2 linked regions of the Bombyx mori genome follow. The protein of the gene in region 2 binds, or shares a complex with, the protein of the main gene of each other region. Links are inferred from orthologs where the notes say so. Each region holds a gene or a part of one and is shown on either strand. Other genes may lie near its edges. The genes, in order: beta-1-syntrophin and dystrobrevin beta.

Region 1 (9,931 bases), on a different chromosome or scaffold from region 2:
GAAAACTACTAGATAAATTAAACTAGAACATGGATAAATGTGGATGCAGAAAAGACAGTGAATGAGGCAAAGGCTGCCATAATTTCTGAAATTTACCAAACTTCTTTTATCAAATTTGTTTACATAGTAGTTTTTTTTTCTATAAAATGTTTCCATGTCCACTTAGTCAGAAGTCGATTTCTTTTCAAATAAAGAGGCGCTTAATCTGATAATAGATTTTCGTTTAAGATGTTTGTTGGCTATTTGTATGCTTAATATGGAATTAGGAATTCTTAACAGGAATAATAGGATTAATAGGAATAGGAATAATTAACTTGGAAGTAGTATTTTTTTAATGAAAAATGAGTATCAGGCCATTTGGAAAACACGTTTATTTACTTTATTTGGAGCACAAAGATACTTTAACATTTATCATTACTTTAACATTACTTACATTAAGATTTGTGAGCTTATTATATTCGGTGACAATTTCTTCTTCTAGAGGGTATAAAGATTTATCTGACAAACATGCTCTACAGACTTTCATCATTAAAATTTCTGATAAAAAAAAGGGTTTTCGTTAGAGGAAATTGTAAATTAATATTTTAAATTGTGAACCAATGTGCAATTGTTGTGGATACATAAGTTTATTATCTATGGTGGATAAACTGGAACATAGATAATATGTACGTTAAGTCTTAATTAGGTGTTGGACAGGCAAAAGAAATAAACACCAAACAATGTCAAAACGCCGAATCATGTTTCACACAGAAGTGAAACCCGGTTTTCGTTCAGATTTTTGATTGCTTGACGTGCTCACAGTCCAACTGGTGTGTTATTGCCGGAGTTCACCGACACGAATGACGCAAATGTCACCCACCTTGAGTCTTTAGTTCTGAGTGTTAGTTTTACAGTACAGCTACTGTCCCACACGTCAAACCGAAATGGGTTTCTGCTTCACGGCAAAAATAGGCAGGTGACCTAGTGGGACATATGGGTGTGGGTTTAGAAGACGGCCAGCAGTAATTACGTAAATTATAATTTTTGTATTTGATTACGGGATGTTATTTCTTCACCGTGGAAGCTATTCGTAAACATTTCATAAAGACTTATTTCATTACTTGTTACTTGGCTGCGAATTGTGAACACAAGCACAGTCGCATCGCTTAGGAATCGATACAAAAGCACCGGACATTTTATTCTTACGGCCACATCGACTTCTTTAAGATTAAATCTAAGATCTGACTTGATTATTTATTTAATGTTTATTTTACGTTATAACTCTGAATTGAATTATTTTTAATATAAAATGTTAATTTCATTGAAAATTCTATTTAGGTATTTCGAGTAATCTGTATCATTTGCGTGTATGACGATTTAAAAAGTTGTGGAATTGTCAAAATATATTGATTGTTGGACATTTGCGCAAATAAATTCTTATTTTGAGATGAACACTGAGTTTCATTTACAAATCTGGTTTTTAAAAATACCTCATGTTAGTTGTTGTTAAACTGATATTCATGCTGTTTTTCTTGAGTGATCTGTATTCTTTTAAGTCATCATTCCATTGAAGAGTTAACACTCTTCAAGCAATTATAGTAAATTATGGTGGAAAACGGTGCCTCGAGTGGTGGCAGTGATAGTCCTAGTGCAACATGTGTTCGTTCTGGTCTTCTAGAGACGTTAGTCCGTGGTGTTTGGTATCGCGTTCATTGTTCATTAGAAGACGATTACCTGAGCGTCTGTCTCGATGATGGGTATGATGCGACAACGACTTTGAATGGCACTCTGAACAACAACAACGTCGAAACTCCGAACAGCGACTTCGCAGAGGTACCCGAAGCAATTGCAAACCAAAAACGTTTAGTACAAGTTGTGAAATCGGACAACAACGGGCTTGGTATATCAATAAAAGGTGGAATCGAAAATAACATGCCAATATTGATATCAAAAATATTCAAGGGTATGGCAGCCGACTTGACTGAACAGTTGTACGTTGGTGATGCTATATTGTCTGTAAACGGTGAGGATCTCAAAGATGCGACACACGAAGAAGCTGTAAAGGCATTGAAGAGAGCTGGAAAAATGGTACAACTGGAAGGTGAGTCCTTATCATATCTTTTGGTTAAATATTTATTATTTATTGGGTCTCTTAATTTAAAATATGTTATAAATGAACAAATTGAGAATAGTCAACGTCATTGATGCCTCTAGTCATTCATTGACCTCAATAAAAATAGCCCTGCATTACACATAATGTCAATTGGCTTAATTAGTGTAGTGTATGTATGCTTAATTGGTTTTTAAATGTTACATTAGAGGAAAAGTAAAAAGATATTAAGGTACTAATATAGAATAGAATATAAGTGGTAATGAAGGAAAATATGATGAAGGATGTAGGATGAGTCAGTTAAAAAAACTCAATTGTTTGTTAACACTTCAGTTTGTCGTCAGATTTCCAGTAAAATATTTTTGCTTTAAAATATTGATGTGGTGATTTCGAATATCAAATACTAGTAATAGTAACTAACAACAACTAACAAATACTAGTAATTTTGTTTTTATGACCAGCTGTATGTGAATGTATATCTGATCTCTTGGTCTTACAAGGGCGGGATGATAAGTAACTACCCTAACAATAAAACACTTAACTTTTCGTGATAAAATTAACTTTATTTTTCGACATAGTCTCCGTGAACCTCTATGCACTTATTCCATCTTCGTTCTAAAGCAGTAATGCCTTCCATAAAATGATTTCTTTCGAGGCCTGCAAAATACTCCTCTACAGCGGCTATGACTTCATCATTTGTTGCAAATTTCTGTCCGCCCAAAAAAGTTTTGAGCTTAAGGAATAAGTGGAAGTCTGATGGCCCTCTCGGACTGGGTGAATTTCTCACCTTCCGGGCGACGCAGGTGCTCATGGGCCACGGCTGTTTCGGCCGCTACTTGCACCTCGTCGCCCGGAGGGAGCCGACGCCGAAGTGTCATCACTTCAGTGGCTGCAATGAGGATACGGCGGAGCACACGCTCACGTAGTACCCCGCTTTCGCAGAGCAGCGCTGCGACCTCGCTGCAAAAATAGGACCGGACTTGTCGCTTCCGACTGTCGTGGCTAAGATGCTTAGCAGCGACGAGTCCTGGCAGGCGATGATCGACTTCTGCGAGTCTGTCCACCATCACGCAGAAGGAGGCGGCTGAACGGGAGAGGGAGAGCTCTTCTTCCCTTTGGCCGCCGTGCCGCCACCGCCGAGCCGGAGGTCGGAGAAGGGCGTTTGGCCAGCTCCGGCCCCTATGAGGAGGCAGTCTCCTCCGGGTGATGGTCACGGGGCGTCCTAAGGGGGTTGAGACTGCGCCGCACGCTACGTTACTTTAGCGCGCTGGCACCAGGAAGACGGGACGACGCGTCGCCGGCTGCGGCCTGCGATGTGGTCAGCATTGTCGTCGCCGAACGTACCGTGGAAGAGCAACCCGGTTCCGAGTTGGTCCTGTCCCAGCGGAGTATCCCGGAACACCAGCGGCATCGCCCGGGCGGCCTGGTAGGGCCGTCGTGCCGCGGAAACTGTCGTCGTTGGTCGTCGACTATCGCCTCGACGACCAGTTGGTCGGGCGTCCTCCAAGTGGCGTCGCGGGCCTGGTTGTAGTGTTGACCGCGAAAACCCCCCAATTCTGATCGGGTTCTGACCCCGGACGGAGCCGATCTCTGTCGGGTGTAAGAGTGCAGGGGAGTCCTTTACTGCGGTAGGGCCCTAAAATTCCTTGGACCCGCAGTCTGCTCCCAACACCTGCACATCGTCAAGTCCCACATACCCCGCGAGCCACCTAAGCGCGGGGACCTCGTCGGAGGTTCCCACCCCCGGCCCGAAAAAAAAGCCCCTTAGGCTACAAATAATTAGGTAGAGAAAAAAAATATATGAGACTGTATTTGAGATACCAGGTAGGTCCTACTCTAAATAATCTTTTGCACAAAGATATACAAATACCCACAAGATTATATTTATACATTCTGATTGGTATTTATTTATTTATTTAATTTACTTCAGATTTTACATCCATATTACACGTCTTAATTACATTGCATTAACATTTAACATTTAACATTGAATAACAGTTAGTAAATATATTATTATGCATTTTTATGTAATTAAAGACAATTTAGTTTGCTTTTTCTCAATTGCCATTATTAACTTGGTATTTTCAGTGAAAAACTCAGATATTAACTATTCCTTGTAACTCTTGATAGTGATAATCTGCATATCTATTTAGTGATTTTTCATGAAATATATTAAATAATACCATTAAACTGAAAACGGCTTTCAAGTAAACTGTAAATAACATAACAGTTAACAATGTTGCAGAACATCTAACTCTCATCTATCGCTCTGGGACACTCTTATTATAATAGATTATTTTATTGTTTAAGTAGGTCATTGAGCTCACGGCCCATCTGGTGTTAAATAGTTAATGGAGCTCATGGACATCAAAAATTCTGCCACTTATGTCGAGACATGAGTACTTTTTGCAGTCCACATCTGTCCCCACCCTTCACACTGAAACGCATTACTGCTTCACGGTAGAAATAGGCAGGACGGTGGTACTTACCCGCGCGGGCTCCGGATGATATTCCGGGAACCGTGGAAGTCTAGGAAAGTCAATTGTGAACATTTCTTTAGTACGTATTTCATTGGTACCTGGCTGCGGCACCCGAACACCGACACAGTCGCATCACTCGATATGAATGCACCGGGCGTCTTAACCTTCAGACCACGACGAATTTATATTGCATTGCATTGCATTGTTATAAGTGATTGTAGTGCAATGTGCATTTTTTTGTTAGCCATTTAATCATTTCTGAAAATATCTATAATTATTTGTCAGTTTAGGCAATTATAAATTTCTCATTTAAGAACAATAGTCAATTTTCCAATTAAATTGTGTATCCTTTACAGTGAAATATCTCCGTGAAGTGACACCGTACTTCCGTAAGGCATCCATTATAAGTGAAGTAGGATGGGAGCTACAACGTGGGTATATGGCAGACACACCACCGTCGCCACCATCTCCACGCCGTCGACGGGCAGACACTCGTTATGTACCACTGTTAATGGCATGCGTTGCCAAGAATCTCCGTCATAATGACCCAGGTCAGTTTTTAATAATAATAATAACAACTGGCCACAAATTACGCGCCGTCATCTTGGCCCATATTTAGGATTACCTCTGTTATGGGTGGGTACCTGATAACTGATAAACATACATGTTTATAAATATATGCATATACAGATAACAAACACCCACAGAAAGAACAAACAAACCTGTTCGTCAGACAATGCTTGCCCGATGTGGGCATCGAACCCGTGACCCTCTGCCTCTGACAACAGTCAGGGCCGCTAACTATTGCACCACCGAGTCATTCACTCACTTTAAAAAAGTATATCTATATCTATACTAATATATAAATCTACAGTGGTTTTTACGGATGTTCCGTTATAACTACTAAACCCTGCATCCGATTGACTTGAAACTTGGTATCCATGTAGAAAATACATGTACTTAATGGATAGGCCAATATTTATATGAGTGTTGGACTCTCTACACTAGTTGCGGGGCCGTTAATGATAAGAATCTTTGTGGAGCTGAGAAATAATAATTTTAATTTTAATTTTAATTTTAACTGCCTAACGTAGTGGACTGGGACAGCTAGTATGTATATATTTTTAAGGTTTCAAAATATTTTGATGTAATGCAATTTTCAGAGGATCGCACAATCGAAATATATTCACCGGACGGCGTCCACGCATTAGCATTACGGGCCAGTTCAGCGGCCACAGCGTCAGGGTGGCATCGCGCGCTACATGCAGCCGCACGTCGGGCTGCACGCGCCGCTCTTGCTCGCGCCAGGCCGAGACTTCGCCCTCTTGTAGGCGATGTGCGATATGCTGGTTGGATGGCAAGGCGCCCACCGCAAGATCATGTAAGAAAATTAATCAATGTAGGATGGGTAAGGACGGAACGCATGTAAAGCGTGTGGAATGGAGTGTTAAGGTATGAGAAAAAACGGTAAGAAAGGGACAAAAGAATGAAAGACAAAAGCAAGATGGCGAGGACGATTGAACGAGCGAGGTGTGAAAAAGGTGTCAGTTAATTTTGAATTATAATAATAGAGAAGATTTGAAAAGAGAATAATAAAACTAAAAAAGTGGAATAATTGTATGAATCGTGAATGTTCTGTTAAAAATAGATGAGCGCTTCAGGAGGGTCTGACAGCTCCGACGAGACTGAAGGCTGGCAGCCAACATTCGTTGCAATCACAGACAGAGAGTTAAGGTGAGCTTAATAGCGCACATAGTGCTTTTAAAATTTTGCCATTTTGCAGTGGTGTCGATGTGGGCTTACAACAGAGAGATTTTTTTTTTTAAATTTAACATAATGGTTTATGTGAATTTTTTGGAGTATAATGGTCGTCATTGAACAGGCTGTATGAGGCGGCGCCGTGGTCGGCGGAGGCATGGTGCGCGCCGGCGGAGAGCCTGCGGCTGGCGGCGACGCGGCTGGCCTGGTGGCGGCGAGCTGGGGCGGGCGGGGCGGCGGCGCTGGGGCTGCGGGCCGGGTGCGTGGACGGGCTGGTGCAGCGAGCCCTGCGCGCGGACTCGCCGCACGACCTGGCGGCCGCCGCGTCCGCGCTGGTGGAGGGGGCGCACGCGGCGGTGCGAGCGCAGCCCGAGTTCACGTTCCGCTGCTCGGTGGGCGGGGCGGCGGCGCGGCTGGCGCTGGGGGCGGCGGGCGTGTGCGTGTGGGAGGCGGCGGGCTCGCTGGGCCGCGCGCTGTACCGCCGCCCGCTGCACGCACTCCGCGCTTCCGCTGACGACGACAACAACAAGCTCTGGCTGCACTTCGCTGACGACGACACGTTGGTTAGTACCTATTGCTGCTCCTTTGTAAATAAGACTTGAATAGGCATGTACCGTGCTATTTAAAGATTGAAGTTAAATTTCTTTTGGGCACGAAGAGAGATAAATGAGATTTATTGAAGTGAAACTTCTAATGCGACATTCAACAAAATTGTGTTAAACGTATAACGCTACCATGGAATAGAAAGAGACAGAACGAAAGTGAATGCGTGGCACTCGTACGCATGCGCGTAGTATACCTGTTACAGACCATCGCGAGCGTTAGCAACGAGTAGCGTCCGATATTTTAATGAAGCATTTCAAATTATAGCATCTATAATTTAAAATATATATATTAAAAATGTTGAAGATGTCGAATCTCCTATACACCACATTACCTATTACAAGAGCAATCTGATTTAAGGATGAAAAATGAAGAAAACCACAATACTACACATCGAAAAAGAAGCTTCACTTCATTTACGTGCACCAAGTTGCAAGCGCACCGTTTTTTTTTATTGCTTAGATGGGTGGACAGGCTCTGAATATTTCTGAATAAATTTCTATATATTTTAATGTATATTCTGAATACATATCTAAATATTTGATCAAGGAAACCCGTTGAAAGTGGCATATTTCACGTGGCGTAGCATATTTGTGTATTTGTTACGTTTGATCGAAAACGGTGATGCAAAGTGAAAATGTTTACCCAAACACATCACCAAACTGAAGTGCCAAACTAAAACTAAACGTTTCTGATGCAACCGAGACAGAGATGACTTATATATTTTCTCGTTTAAAACCTATCACTTCTGTCACATCCGGGTTTTATGCGCGTTTGTGTATATTTTTCATTAAAATGCGTTTTCCGTGTAATTTTGCCAGGAGCTAGAAATGGACGGTAGCCCGAAGCCGGCTGTGTTCATTCTGCACAATTTGCTGTCGGCTCGCGTCCACTCGCTGCCGGGAGATCCGACACCGAACCCGCTATAACCCGAACAATTTAAAGAAGGCATCAAATCATCATCGAACGATAACAACTGCTCGTCGAAGCTGCTCTCATCGATATGATCAGGGTTGTACTTGTTTTGATTTGTATGATCAACGCATTGGATCGTACTCAGTTCGAAATTCAAATTGGATCGCACTCGACTCGATTTGTAGGGTTGGTTTGTAAAATAACTAGGTCGTAGTTTAGTAGAAAGGATTCAGTCAAGGATTATACCAAACGAACTCTTTGGAACATAGTAGTTTTGCAACAATTATCAATGAACGAAGGTTTTTTTTTACACTGGCAACCCATGCGACTAAAACAAAAATATATCATTCTGCCGCGCCAATAAAGAAACGAATCTAAAATGGCGTCTATGTACCTGCACTGACAAATAGTAGGGTAAACAAATAAAAAGAAAGATAGAAAGAAAAAGTTGTTTATTGTAAAAAAATAAAAATAAAAACAAATGAGAAAGTACTTTACTTTACTTTGGTGCCCTGGCAGAGGGGGAGGTGTCTCATATAGGATGCAACTTGCGTAGACACTTTTGCTGCCAGTCAGCTAAGTAGCACAACTCGAAAGTGAAAAAACTCGAACTCAACAACAAAGTCGAAACTAATATTTTTTTTTGCATGCAGTACGCGCCGTGTGCGACTAAAGACAGCAATAGTTTAGACTGAGAGCGCATGATCGCCGCTGCCATTTTAGATTCGTTTCTTTATTGGCGCGGCTTATAGAAGTAAATTTAAAATAATTGTAATGTGTGCTATTTGAGTGTGGCGGTTTGAGCCTTTTCTGCTAAATGCCGGTCTATTTTAAATATCGGTACAATAATCGACAAATACGCTCGGTCGTGGTTTCAGAACCTGTAAAAGCCGGCTCTGTGAAATATGTAATAAGTAGTAGCAGATCCAAGGGAATTAATACTATTCCTATAATGTCCTTGTGTACTCTTAACACTTTTGGCCTAATAATAAAAAATCCTATATTTAAATAAGGAACAATTGAAAGCTTAATTTAACATTTAACGTCAGTTTTCATTTAATATTAACCGACGAAGATAAAACAAAATCGAATAATTATATACTCGTATTATGAATTAAATTGAGGAATACATAATGCCACCTAGGCTACATTAAGCCGAAGTTAAAAAGAGTATAAAAATCTGCGAATCTTCTAAATAAATACTCAATAAAATTATATAATGTATTCCGTTGAAATTGAATCTCTTTTATCAAAATAAACGTATCTGTGATTGTGCACAATTTATCAAACGAAATTTCTGCATATCTGAAGCGAATTCTCAATTCACTCACTTCACTAGTATAGTATATACAATAAAACAGATTGGTTTTTTGCATAGTTTTGACTGTATATTTGTATGGCTAATCTGTAATAGTAAACTTTTCGGCATATACATGTATCTATTTTATATCATTCATGAAAAATTGTATTCAGGATGGTTTCGAGATTCGATCGCGTTATCTATTTAAAAAAACATTTAATTAAAGCTAAAGCAAAGAGTTGCGATTTGGCACCGTTGACACTTGACAAAGTAGCCACTTGACACTTGACACTTGTAAGCGATTGACAGAGACTAACGCAAAGGCACATTTTCTGGCCATGATTACCTACATATACATTCGTGATTACAAGTCTGAATGCCAAGAAAATGCAAAATTCCAGGGGGGGCGTGTTCTAAGACGTTACATCGATTCCGCTCAACCGAATTTGAGCAATTCATCATGCTTATAAAGAATCTCCATCTGACATCCCTGGTTTTAGTCACACGAGATTAGGAACTGACTGTCGAAGTTAAAGTATGTTTGGAAATCCCCTAAGGGATTCCCGGAGAAACCACGTTTAAAAATCAATATCACAATTAAAAAAAAATCAGTCTAGAGGATTGTTGAGTTAAAATCTAGCTACAAATACATAGAATATCGATCTCGGGAATTCCTGGATAATATCACCAACAACGTGTTCTTTGAGTCGAGGCAGCGAAAGCTTATATACTGCGTGTTAAAAAGATCACTTCCGAAAATGAAGATAGACGATAGTATTAATGACA
Region 2 (9,931 bases):
ATTCGGGTAATATTATAATATAATATATTGCTCTTGTAAATTATTAATGCAAACACATTGTTTTGGTTTAAAACAATGTGTTCTTAACGCTCGCGTTAAGACACGTCCGATACACGTACCGATATCTAATACCTATAATCAAACTGCGCAAATAGTCGATATTCTGACGCTCCACATTTTATACGCATTAATAGAGAGTCTATCTATCGACGGTTCACGTTCAAATTGTTAATAAACTCATTACGGTTGTATACTGAATTTTATTTTTAATTCATTCACTAAAGTTAGAAAATCAGAATTTCATACAAAACTCATTTCTAAAATAACACATCTATATTCGAAGCCTGATTTTAATTTTATTTCAGAGGGCGGCAACACATATGAGTGTTTACAAGATTTGGCGCGAGTATTCAAACTATGTATGGAGAACGAGCCGCATTGGAATGAACACATAAGCGAAGAAAAATCGTCTGAAGAAGAAAGATCTCTAGATCACCCGTTCAAGCTGTTTCCGATTACACCGAATGACCACGACGCGCAATGGACGCAATCCAGTTTGTATACATTAGATTTTGGTTACAATATTTATATTTATGAACACTATCCTGATACTGAAGTTAGTTCACATCGCCCTAAGCACGTCCGGTAACCATTTAACACTAGGCGGGCCGTGAGCTCGTCCAGCCATATAAGCAATAAAAAAAGTGCAGTTACATAAGTAATTATGTTATAAGAGCTATTAGGTATCACAATGCGAGTCGATAGTGGTGATGCTGACAATTCTAGGTGTTCTATTTGAAAGCATAAAATATAATAAATAATAATAAATAAATATTTACTAACAATCACGCCACGTTAACTGGTCCCGTGCTAAGTTCGTAAAGAACTTGTGTTACAGGTACCAGATAACGGAAATAAATGTAAGATTTTCTATTATACAAATACATATATTTAATATACATCCATAACCCTGGAAAAGATATTTATATTTATCATACAAATATCTTCCCTTGGCGGGATTCGAACTCGCGACCCCCTTGTCTAGTGACCATTTCAATTACCACAGCACCAGACGGCCGTTATATAATATATTCCAAACGTAGTATAATTAAATGTCTAATATTAAAAAATTCTGCTCTTTTTACAGAATTCCACAAACCCGGACACGCTAAGAAGAAATATTGTAATAAACATTCCGAATAATAATTTATACAAAATTAACAGGAAAAAATATTTTTCTCTTTCTTTTTTCTTAATAATTGTATACTTTCATTTTGTACTTTCATTTATGTTGAATAATTTTTTTTTGATTTGATTTGAATAAATTATACGACTAAATTAAATGTGGTAATATTTTATTTATTATAAGCTATTTGACTCGGCAGACTTCGTAGTGCCTCAATCGATAAATAAAAGACCCAAACTTTTGTATAAAATAAACTTAAAACAAACCAAAGGAATCCATCCGACGGGGGATACACATCAAAAGGAAAACAAAATTATTATTTTTATATAATTCCGAGCATTTTCATATTTACCTAAACCTTTTAAACCTTCTGTGGACTTCCACAAATAATTCAAGACCAAAATTAGCCAAATCGGTCCAGTCGTTCTCGAGTTTTAGCGAGACTAACGAACAGCAATTCATTTTTATATATATAGATAAGACATGTTTTTATAGTTACTTATAACGGACTTATGACGCACAGATAATTCACTATTGATTAAGATCACTTATGTTCACACTTGTTACATTTTTAGGTCTATATGCCACTATGTAAGAATTCCTATTATAAAAAACCACACCCTGTACTCTGTACGTAACCCACTATACAGCGTGATATTTTAATAATACATTTGAAAACCAATATCTATTAAACCAATATTTACCTTCAGCATCCTCATGAGTCCCTCGAGCTGCTGCATTAGGTGTTTCCTGGAGTCCTGAAGCGAGGAGAGATGTCCTTCGAGTTCGTCCTTCCGTTGTCTGAGGGCTCTCAGCTCCGACACCAGCGGCGGGGCCGACGTCGAACCAGCACCGGCTTCGGCTTCCTGTTGGCGTCTGTAGCAACACATTATATCAACTCATCATCATCAGCCTGTATCTCTGCACTGCTTGATGTAGACCTCTCCCATGGTCCACCACAATTAACGATCCTCCGCCTTCCGCATCCAATCTTTCCCAGCATATCGCCGCAAGTCATCGGTCCAATGGGCAAGGGGACGCCCAACGCTGCGTTTACCGGTACGTGGTCTCCAGTCCAGAACACGTCTGCCCATTGCCATTTGTGACTACTGACATAACCCTCCCGATGGACAAAGCAAAAATTATATCAACTCACTAAACGAAAATTAATTGTACTAGACATCGAATTCAATCAGACGAACGATGTTTGAATCTATAGTCTGAATTCAGTACATCAACTATGTAGAGTTTCGGGAGGTCCCACCTGAGTCTCGCTATTTCCCTCATAATTTCTCGATTCTTAGCCTCCAGCTGTGAGATGAGCTCGCGCTGTTGTCGAGCCGCGTCCACTTCCGAACCTTCGGACGACGAACGACCCTAGAACGTACATAATTTAATTAGTAAAACGGTCATAAAAAACGGTGCGCGCCCAACTTGATTTTTTTTTATTGCTTAGATGGGTGGACGAGCTCACAGCCCACCTGGTGTTAAGTGGTTACTGGAGCCCATAGACGTCCACAATGTAAATGCGCCACCCACCTTGAGATATAAGTTCCAAGGTCTCAGTATAGTTACAATGGCTGCCCCACCCTTCAAACCGAAACGCATTACTGCTTCACGACAGAAATAGGCAGGGCGGTGGTACCCACCCACGCGGACTCACAAGAGGTCCTACCACCAATTTTTGATGCACCTGAATGAAGTGAAACTTCTTTTTCGATGTGAAGTATTGTGGTTTTCTTCATTTTTCATCCTAACATGAGATTGCTCTTGTAATAGGGAATGCTGTGTATAAGCGATGCGACAACTTCAACATTTATTTTATATATATTTTAAATTATAGCTAGAAAAATAAATATATATATATATTTTAAATACTTCATTAGACTATTGGACGCAACTCGTTGCTAACGCTCGCGCTGGCCTGTAACAGGTATACTACGCGCGTGCGCTCGAGTGCCGCGCATTCATTCTCGCTCTGTCTCTTTCTATTTCATGGCTGCGTTAAACGTTTAACGCTACCTTGTTGGAAGTCGCATTAGAAGTTTCACTTCAAAAATATTGAATTATCACTATATTTTGTACAAAACGTCTACGTACCAACTCAGGGGTCAAGGAGGCTGATCTTCCAGCACGAGGCTATGAAATGAAAAACATATAATTGTGAGTAGAGATACGGATTTTAGTACATTTTAAATATAATATCGACGCTTGAAAGCCAAACGTGACTAAGCGACAATAACTGATTTGTACATAAATGATAGGCAATAACCATATTCAATGTGCAAAAAATATATATTTCTAGGTCTATTAAAATCATTTCAATCCTACAGCTAGATTCGTTAAAAATTTTTTTTTTCATGTATTTCTCATGTAAAGTTTACGCATTGTCGCTTAGTCACTTTTGCCTTTCAAGCGTCGATGTGTTCTAATTCACACGTCCTACCATAGTCCGGTTTTCCTGGGCCAGTCTAGCCGCGTACCGCGCTATGAGGCGGTGCTCGTCGTCCACTCCACGCGATAGATGCTCTGCTATACCTGCAGCATAAATGTATTATTTAATTCTCAATTCTAATAAATGGCTTATTATAGAGTTCCATGTCATAAATGCTGCCAAATTGATTTAAATTATTCTTGGAAATAAAAATACTAATTTCTTTGAGTGAGTTCGAGGTAGTTACAAAGTAATGTCTTAAGAATACGGGTGTGAGTAGCCAAGAAGGATAAACGGCGACTTCCGTGGTATGATTTGTATTTGCTTCAATAACCACTTAACACCAGGTAGACCGTGAATTCGTTCACCCGTCTATACAATAAATGAAGCCAATACCAATGGAAATATGAACGAGATGAGAAATAGACTAGTATTACTAATAATAAAATATTTGGTATTTTTTTTAATTTTATTTTTTTATTGCTTAGATGGGTGGACGAGCTCATAGCCCACCTGATGTTAAGTGGTTACTGGAGCCCATAGACATATACAACGTAAATGCGCCACCCACCTTGAAATATAAGTTCTAAGGTCTCAAGTATAGTTACAACGACTGCCCCACCCTTCGAACCGAAACGCATTACTGCTTCACGGCAGAAATAGGCAGGGCGGACTCACAATAGGTCCTACCACCAGTAAAAAAATTTTTTTTTTTTTTTCAAAATGTAAAAGCTACATAGCCTATGTAATGTATAAAATGAATCTAAGTCTTGAGGTATCAGTCATTACGGTCGAATTTCGTTCGTCGAACGAACACTAGTACAGATAAATATAGATACGTACTGCGATGTGTGGATCGGGACGAACGCGAATCCAAAGAGCCCGTGTTGACGTAGCCACCCACGTACTCCGGGAAGCCGTTGTGGGCCGGCACTGGGGACGGAGGCCTGATAACACACTTCTCATATAATATATTGCAAATACTTTTTTTTAAAGGGTTTTTATGACCTGGTAACTAAGACCTTTAGGTAAAGTCTTATTTTAATATATACTCATAATTTTTATGAAAAATGATAATATGGAGTGAAATGATATTAAATGAAATGAAATGAGATGATATGGGATGAAATATAATCTCAGTAAAATGGTGGTCATTTACTGAGATTTTTTTCAGTGCACTTTTCGGACGATCCCGAGAAGTTACGTCCAGCGGCTTTCATTTTCCCACATTTGTGCACTTTCACAGATATAATATAATAATATATATAAAAAATAGTTTGATGCACTAACACAATATGGCTGAGGTTGAGCGTCCTCTCCGGTTGGTCGGGGTACCGCGGCAGCTGGGCTCGGGCCCGTTCGGGAACGCAGCGGAACGACTTCCGTAACGTAGCGCCGATCTGCTTCGACGGCGATTTCTGGAACAATTCATTCAACAATTCACATAACTTCGCTCTCCGCGTCGCCGTCAAGCAGTCCGGCGGTACTTACGTATGAGGCGTACTCCTTGACCTCGTGGTCGTCGGCGTGCGGCGGCGCCGGGCGGCCCCGCCAGAAGCAGTCCTGGCAGAGCGTGCAGCTGGCGCAGCGCGTGCAGCGGTACCGGAAGCCGGTGAGCGAGCCGCGCCGGCACGCGCTGCACGACATCGGGTGCACCACTGGGGAATGCAAAAACGAACTTTGTTATTTCCATCTGAACATTGATACACCACTTAACACAAGATGGGCTGTGAGCTCGTCCACCCATCTAAGTAATAAAAAAAAAGCAATTCCAAGTCATAACACTCGAGGTTTATTCCAGATTATTCTTATTCTGAAGGAAAAAATTCTTAAGGTAACATTAACTTAATCTAGAGATATTTTCTCAAATATTTCTTATCGTAATGTGCATTCATCTAACATTTACAAATTCAAAGAAGGTAAATGTACATTGAATTCACAATGACCATGTCGTTTTGGTAAATGTGAGCATGGCACCTCACCTAACCTACGACATATTATATAATATGCAAAGAAATGTATGTTTTGTTTGTCATTTACATTTTTTAATTAAAATAATTTTCGTTATTAAAGCCTTTTGTATTATGTTTATTTAAATATATTTTTACTGCTACAACAAATTTATTTGTATTTACTGTAACTTTTCTTAAAACACGAAGGTAAGAGTATACATTTACCAAAACGTGAAGGCAAGAGTACACATTTACTGGGAAACATACACATATGGGTACATATACATTATATTCAGTTCACATATACCTAACATTTTTGGCAAATGTGCACATTTACCGGTAAAAGTGTACATTTCCCAAGAGTGTACATTTACCGTAACATATACATTCAATTTTATCTACACTCCCAATAAGTCTGTCTTACTCCTCAATATGTTTAAAATTCGTGGCATTAAAAAAGCGACTCTAAATCGAGTTTTTTAAGGTTTAGCATATAAGAAAATGAAATAGAATACTTTTGATATAATCTTATTTATATTTATAACGAGTGTTAACTGTTTTGGTTTCAGATAACATTCATTACAAAACAAGAATATTTTATGAGCTTGAATTTGAATGGTAGTATAAGAGTTATTCCAATATATATCACACCCGCATCTATGTCTAGGTTGGAGACTGCATTCTATGTGATGTGAACCCGATAATCACTTAACACCAGATAGGCTGTGAACTCATACAACTCTACACAATAAAAGATAATGCATTTAGGCTTCATTTTGATGATAGCAAAAATTGTTTCAGTACTTATTTCTAGTTATAAGTTACTTACCATTTTCAACACTGGCAAGGCGATGCAATAATGGTAGCCAGACCAGGCATGGAGGACCAGGATCAGACATTAATGTGTCTAGGAAGTCATTCACTGTTATCTTTCCATTCTGAAAAAATATATAACATAGTATTAGTCAAATTCAAGTTCTAGAATAATTGAAATGAATTTTTTTTTCTACCAACACACAACCACAGTAGAAGTACTATAATATTTAAAAAAAATGCTATATATATTAGTTCAAGTTTAACAAAAAAAGGATCCAATTTTTTTACATACCTGATTAAAAATAGTTAGTGCCAATGTATCATTATAACTAAACGATGGTGACTCATACACAGCTGCAGGCAAGGCCAGTACTTCACGTAGATAGTCAGACAGTCTCTTCATCAATAAATGACCATTACCATCTGATAATTGCGAAAATATATCTGTGGAAAATATAAACTCAACTAACTAAAAGATTTAAGAAAGCAGATATCTATTTAATATCTACTTTATTAAAATGGTGTACTTTATTTTGTTTATGTTTTGTTAATAATTCTGTAATATTTTAACTTTATGATATACTTGATACATATATAAGACATAACCAAACAAGGTAGATAAATTACTCTTTATTGAAACACTATAAATATAATAGAGCATTGAAATAACAAATACCATCCCCGTCTGGATTGGCATTATTTATTACACAAATTTAAAAGTTTTCAATGAAGAAAACATTATACAATGTGTATATGTGTATGCATTTACAAAATATGTTTTGTATGGTATATATTTCTGCTTCCATACATCTAAATTTACATAATAATGTTTCAGCCCAAAATTTCAAATAATCTAAAAATTACCAACATAGGTTTAGGAATGTATTTATTACCTGTTGCTTAAATATGTTAAATGAGGGCTACAGTCTAACACTAAAATCACTTACACGAACAAGTATTAGATTAAAAAACATCACATACCACCAGTAATTCCCATAGATAATTTTATAATACATTATTGGTTAATTTATCTGCGGTCGTTTATTTATTACTTAATTTTTCTAATAAATACTCACATCGTAGTTTATCCATTAGTTTACCGGCGCACATTGTAGCTAATGCCACTTTAATTGAGAATACTCTGATTTTTCCCACATTCTCACTGAAATAATAATTTTAAATAATTGATTATACAAAAAAATTGCAAGACATAATGTTTGTGACATAATCAGAGTAAAGACAAAGATATGACTAGTATTTAAGTTGAAAATGTAAATGTAAGCATAAAATGATGCTTTGTTTTGTTCCTCTGAAATGTATGTAACATAAAAATTTATGAGTCATCAAACTATAGGTCACAGATTTTCTTTTTTGGGTGTTTAATTTAAGATAGTCTATCAAATACTATTTTTGTTGTCCTTGTAGGCAAACCAGCATACGGCCCACCTGATGGTGAGTAGTTACCGTCGCCCATGGACTTCAGCAATGCCAGGGGCAGAGCCAAGCCGCTGCCTACCGCCTATCTCTTCAATTCTAATATTCTTCTATAAACTTCTATCAGGAATATATGTAGATATAAAAATAAATCACTCACCCAGTACTGTATGCTGACAATAGCCAGTTTAAGAGTAACGCTGAGCATGCTTCTACTGAAACTTGGTGTGCAGGCGGTAAGCGTTTATTCAGATTATGATATAGAGATGACACTAAAGTTTCTAATCTTGTGACGTTTACACAGGCCGTTGGCTCTAATGTGTTGAGTGCGTTCTCACGAAATGCTTCTATCACATTCCATATGTCTATGACATGTACTGAAATACAAATATCCTTAATTGAACTTGCAAATTGACATCAATAAGTTATAACCATATTAAGTAAGGGAATGGACTCTATGTGAAGGGACAATTGGGTAGACACAGGTGGAAGAAGAAAATTAAAACCTTAACCATATACCATAAACCATTACGTTCTTCACCATCACTCAAAGTTCAAGGAAAGGGGAAGATAAATGACAAAACAACTACAAATTCAAAACTAAGATTGTAGTAAATAGTTTAGCTTGCTTATTCATAAACAAATTCAGCAGTAGATGTTAAAAATATATCTTCCAGCATTACATTGTTTACTCTGATACTAGTTTCTATCTGGCACTTAAATTTACATTAAAAGTAGAACAACTTTGAGACTGCTTTATAGGAATTAGGTAGAACTTTTAATCATATTACATTAATTAACTCTGTATTGCCGCAGTATTTATGCAATTAAGGACAATAAGACTTCAGTTTACTGAAAGTAAATGTTGCCATATGTATTTGTCACTAATATATTTCTTTGGCCAATCAATATATTAATCATCATCATCATTCTTTCGTATTACCCTCTGCTGGGGAATAGGGCTCAAAAAAATTTTCCATTTACATCAGTCTTAGGCAGTCTGTTCTAGCTCCTCCCACGTCATGCCCAAGACCCCTAGCTCCTACTCCACCAAGCGACGCCAAGTTATTATATATTATGTAAATCAATTTACAACACTAAAGGGTCTAATAACCACTATCGCAAAAAGAGACCCTTATATACATTCATGTTGAAAAGTTCATATTATTGAAAATAAGTTATTAAATAAATAGATTGTTATTGTTCTAACTATACATTACTCACAGTTGCACTTCTTTTGTACAAAGCGCAGTTTACAAGCTGTTCTGTATGATGCAAATCTGATTAGATCAAAGTTTTGTTCTCGCATTTCTTGTAGAAGTTGTGAGCGAGGATCTGCGGCTGCAACAACATTGGTGACTGGAGGTATACCTCCTATACTTTCACGATCCAAAGACATCTTGATAGGAGTTTTAATACTGCTAATACCTGAAATATAAACTCGTTATTTATTACAATATGTTAGCGCAGGTAACCGACCATATATAAATAATAAAATGTGGTGTTAAAATTGTATGATTCATTGGATTAAAATTAATAAGCTGTTTATTATCCCAAATGACAATATTATAAACTATTTTTCAATAGCGTCTTACTATTAATTCTTTGTATAAGATTTCCAGAAACTGTACCACTTACAAGTTAAATTATTTGCGCACTTATTCATGTGTATTTCGAAATTACAATTTTGTAATAAATTAACGAAAATTGAGAAATCTTACCTTTGCTTATCGGTTAGCTCATAATTTTGTTGACATAACGATAATATATTCACAACGAACCGCTGGTTTGTTTCATAGATCGATTCAAAGATAATATTAGTAACTTGGCTTTTTCTTGCAATATTCTTTGGGAGTAAATCACTTACTTATGTTAGTCGTAGTAAAATTTGTGTGTTCAGTATAAAGATATCATGCACTATTCTTAATCCTACTTAGAATAATTATTAATGCTTTACAATTTAATAATTCATAAGAGCTAATAAATTAAGGAATTATGTATCGAAATCAACGAAATGACAAGCTCCTGCCATCATAGTTACGTTTCATTTTACGTATTTCAAAAATCTAAGAAAAATTTACTTTCGTTTTTTTAAATTTCATCCCAGTT

What was found.
Region 1: dystrobrevin beta (region 2) and beta-1-syntrophin share a complex: the UniProt entries of both Caenorhabditis elegans proteins name them as parts of the dystrophin glycoprotein complex. The link is inferred for Bombyx mori from reciprocal best matches to the Caenorhabditis elegans genes dyb-1 and stn-1.

The regions. Positions count from the first base shown.
Region 1 is NC_085118.1:12,110,542-12,120,472, forward strand, and holds the start of beta-1-syntrophin, read left to right. Parts: upstream 1-994; 5' UTR 995-1,584; coding exon 1,585-2,080; intron 2,081-4,925; coding exon 4,926-5,120; intron 5,121-5,732; coding exon 5,733-5,950; intron 5,951-6,217; coding exon 6,218-6,303; intron 6,304-6,451; coding exon 6,452-6,890; intron 6,891-7,751; coding exon 7,752-7,859; 3' UTR 7,860-9,931. Other genes in the region: zinc finger protein 62 homolog, read right to left, coding at 434-529. UniProt on the Caenorhabditis elegans protein: Adapter protein that binds to and probably organizes the subcellular localization of a variety of membrane proteins. May link various receptors to the actin cytoskeleton and the dystrophin glycoprotein complex (DGC).
Region 2 is NC_085126.1:6,059,092-6,069,022, forward strand, and holds the start of dystrobrevin beta, read right to left. Parts: upstream 9,876-9,931; 5' UTR 9,544-9,875; intron 9,251-9,543; 5' UTR 9,222-9,250; coding exon 9,047-9,221; intron 8,200-9,046; coding exon 7,983-8,199; intron 7,551-7,982; coding exon 7,465-7,550; intron 6,833-7,464; coding exon 6,681-6,832; intron 6,511-6,680; coding exon 6,402-6,510; intron 5,279-6,401; coding exon 5,112-5,278; intron 5,039-5,111; coding exon 4,911-5,038; intron 4,568-4,910; coding exon 4,464-4,567; intron 3,725-4,463; coding exon 3,633-3,724; intron 3,326-3,632; coding exon 3,287-3,325; intron 2,564-3,286; coding exon 2,451-2,563; intron 2,063-2,450; coding exon 1,891-2,062; intron 1,344-1,890; exon of another isoform or gene 1,204-1,343; coding exon of another isoform or gene 1,148-1,203; intron 555-1,147; coding exon of another isoform or gene 366-554; intron 1-365. Other genes in the region: uncharacterized protein LOC134200749, read left to right, coding at 366-554, 1,148-1,203. UniProt on the Caenorhabditis elegans protein: Plays a role in cholinergic transmission and as a functional partner of dystrophin (dys-1), necessary for muscle maintenance. Required for localization of ctn-1 near dense bodies in muscle cells.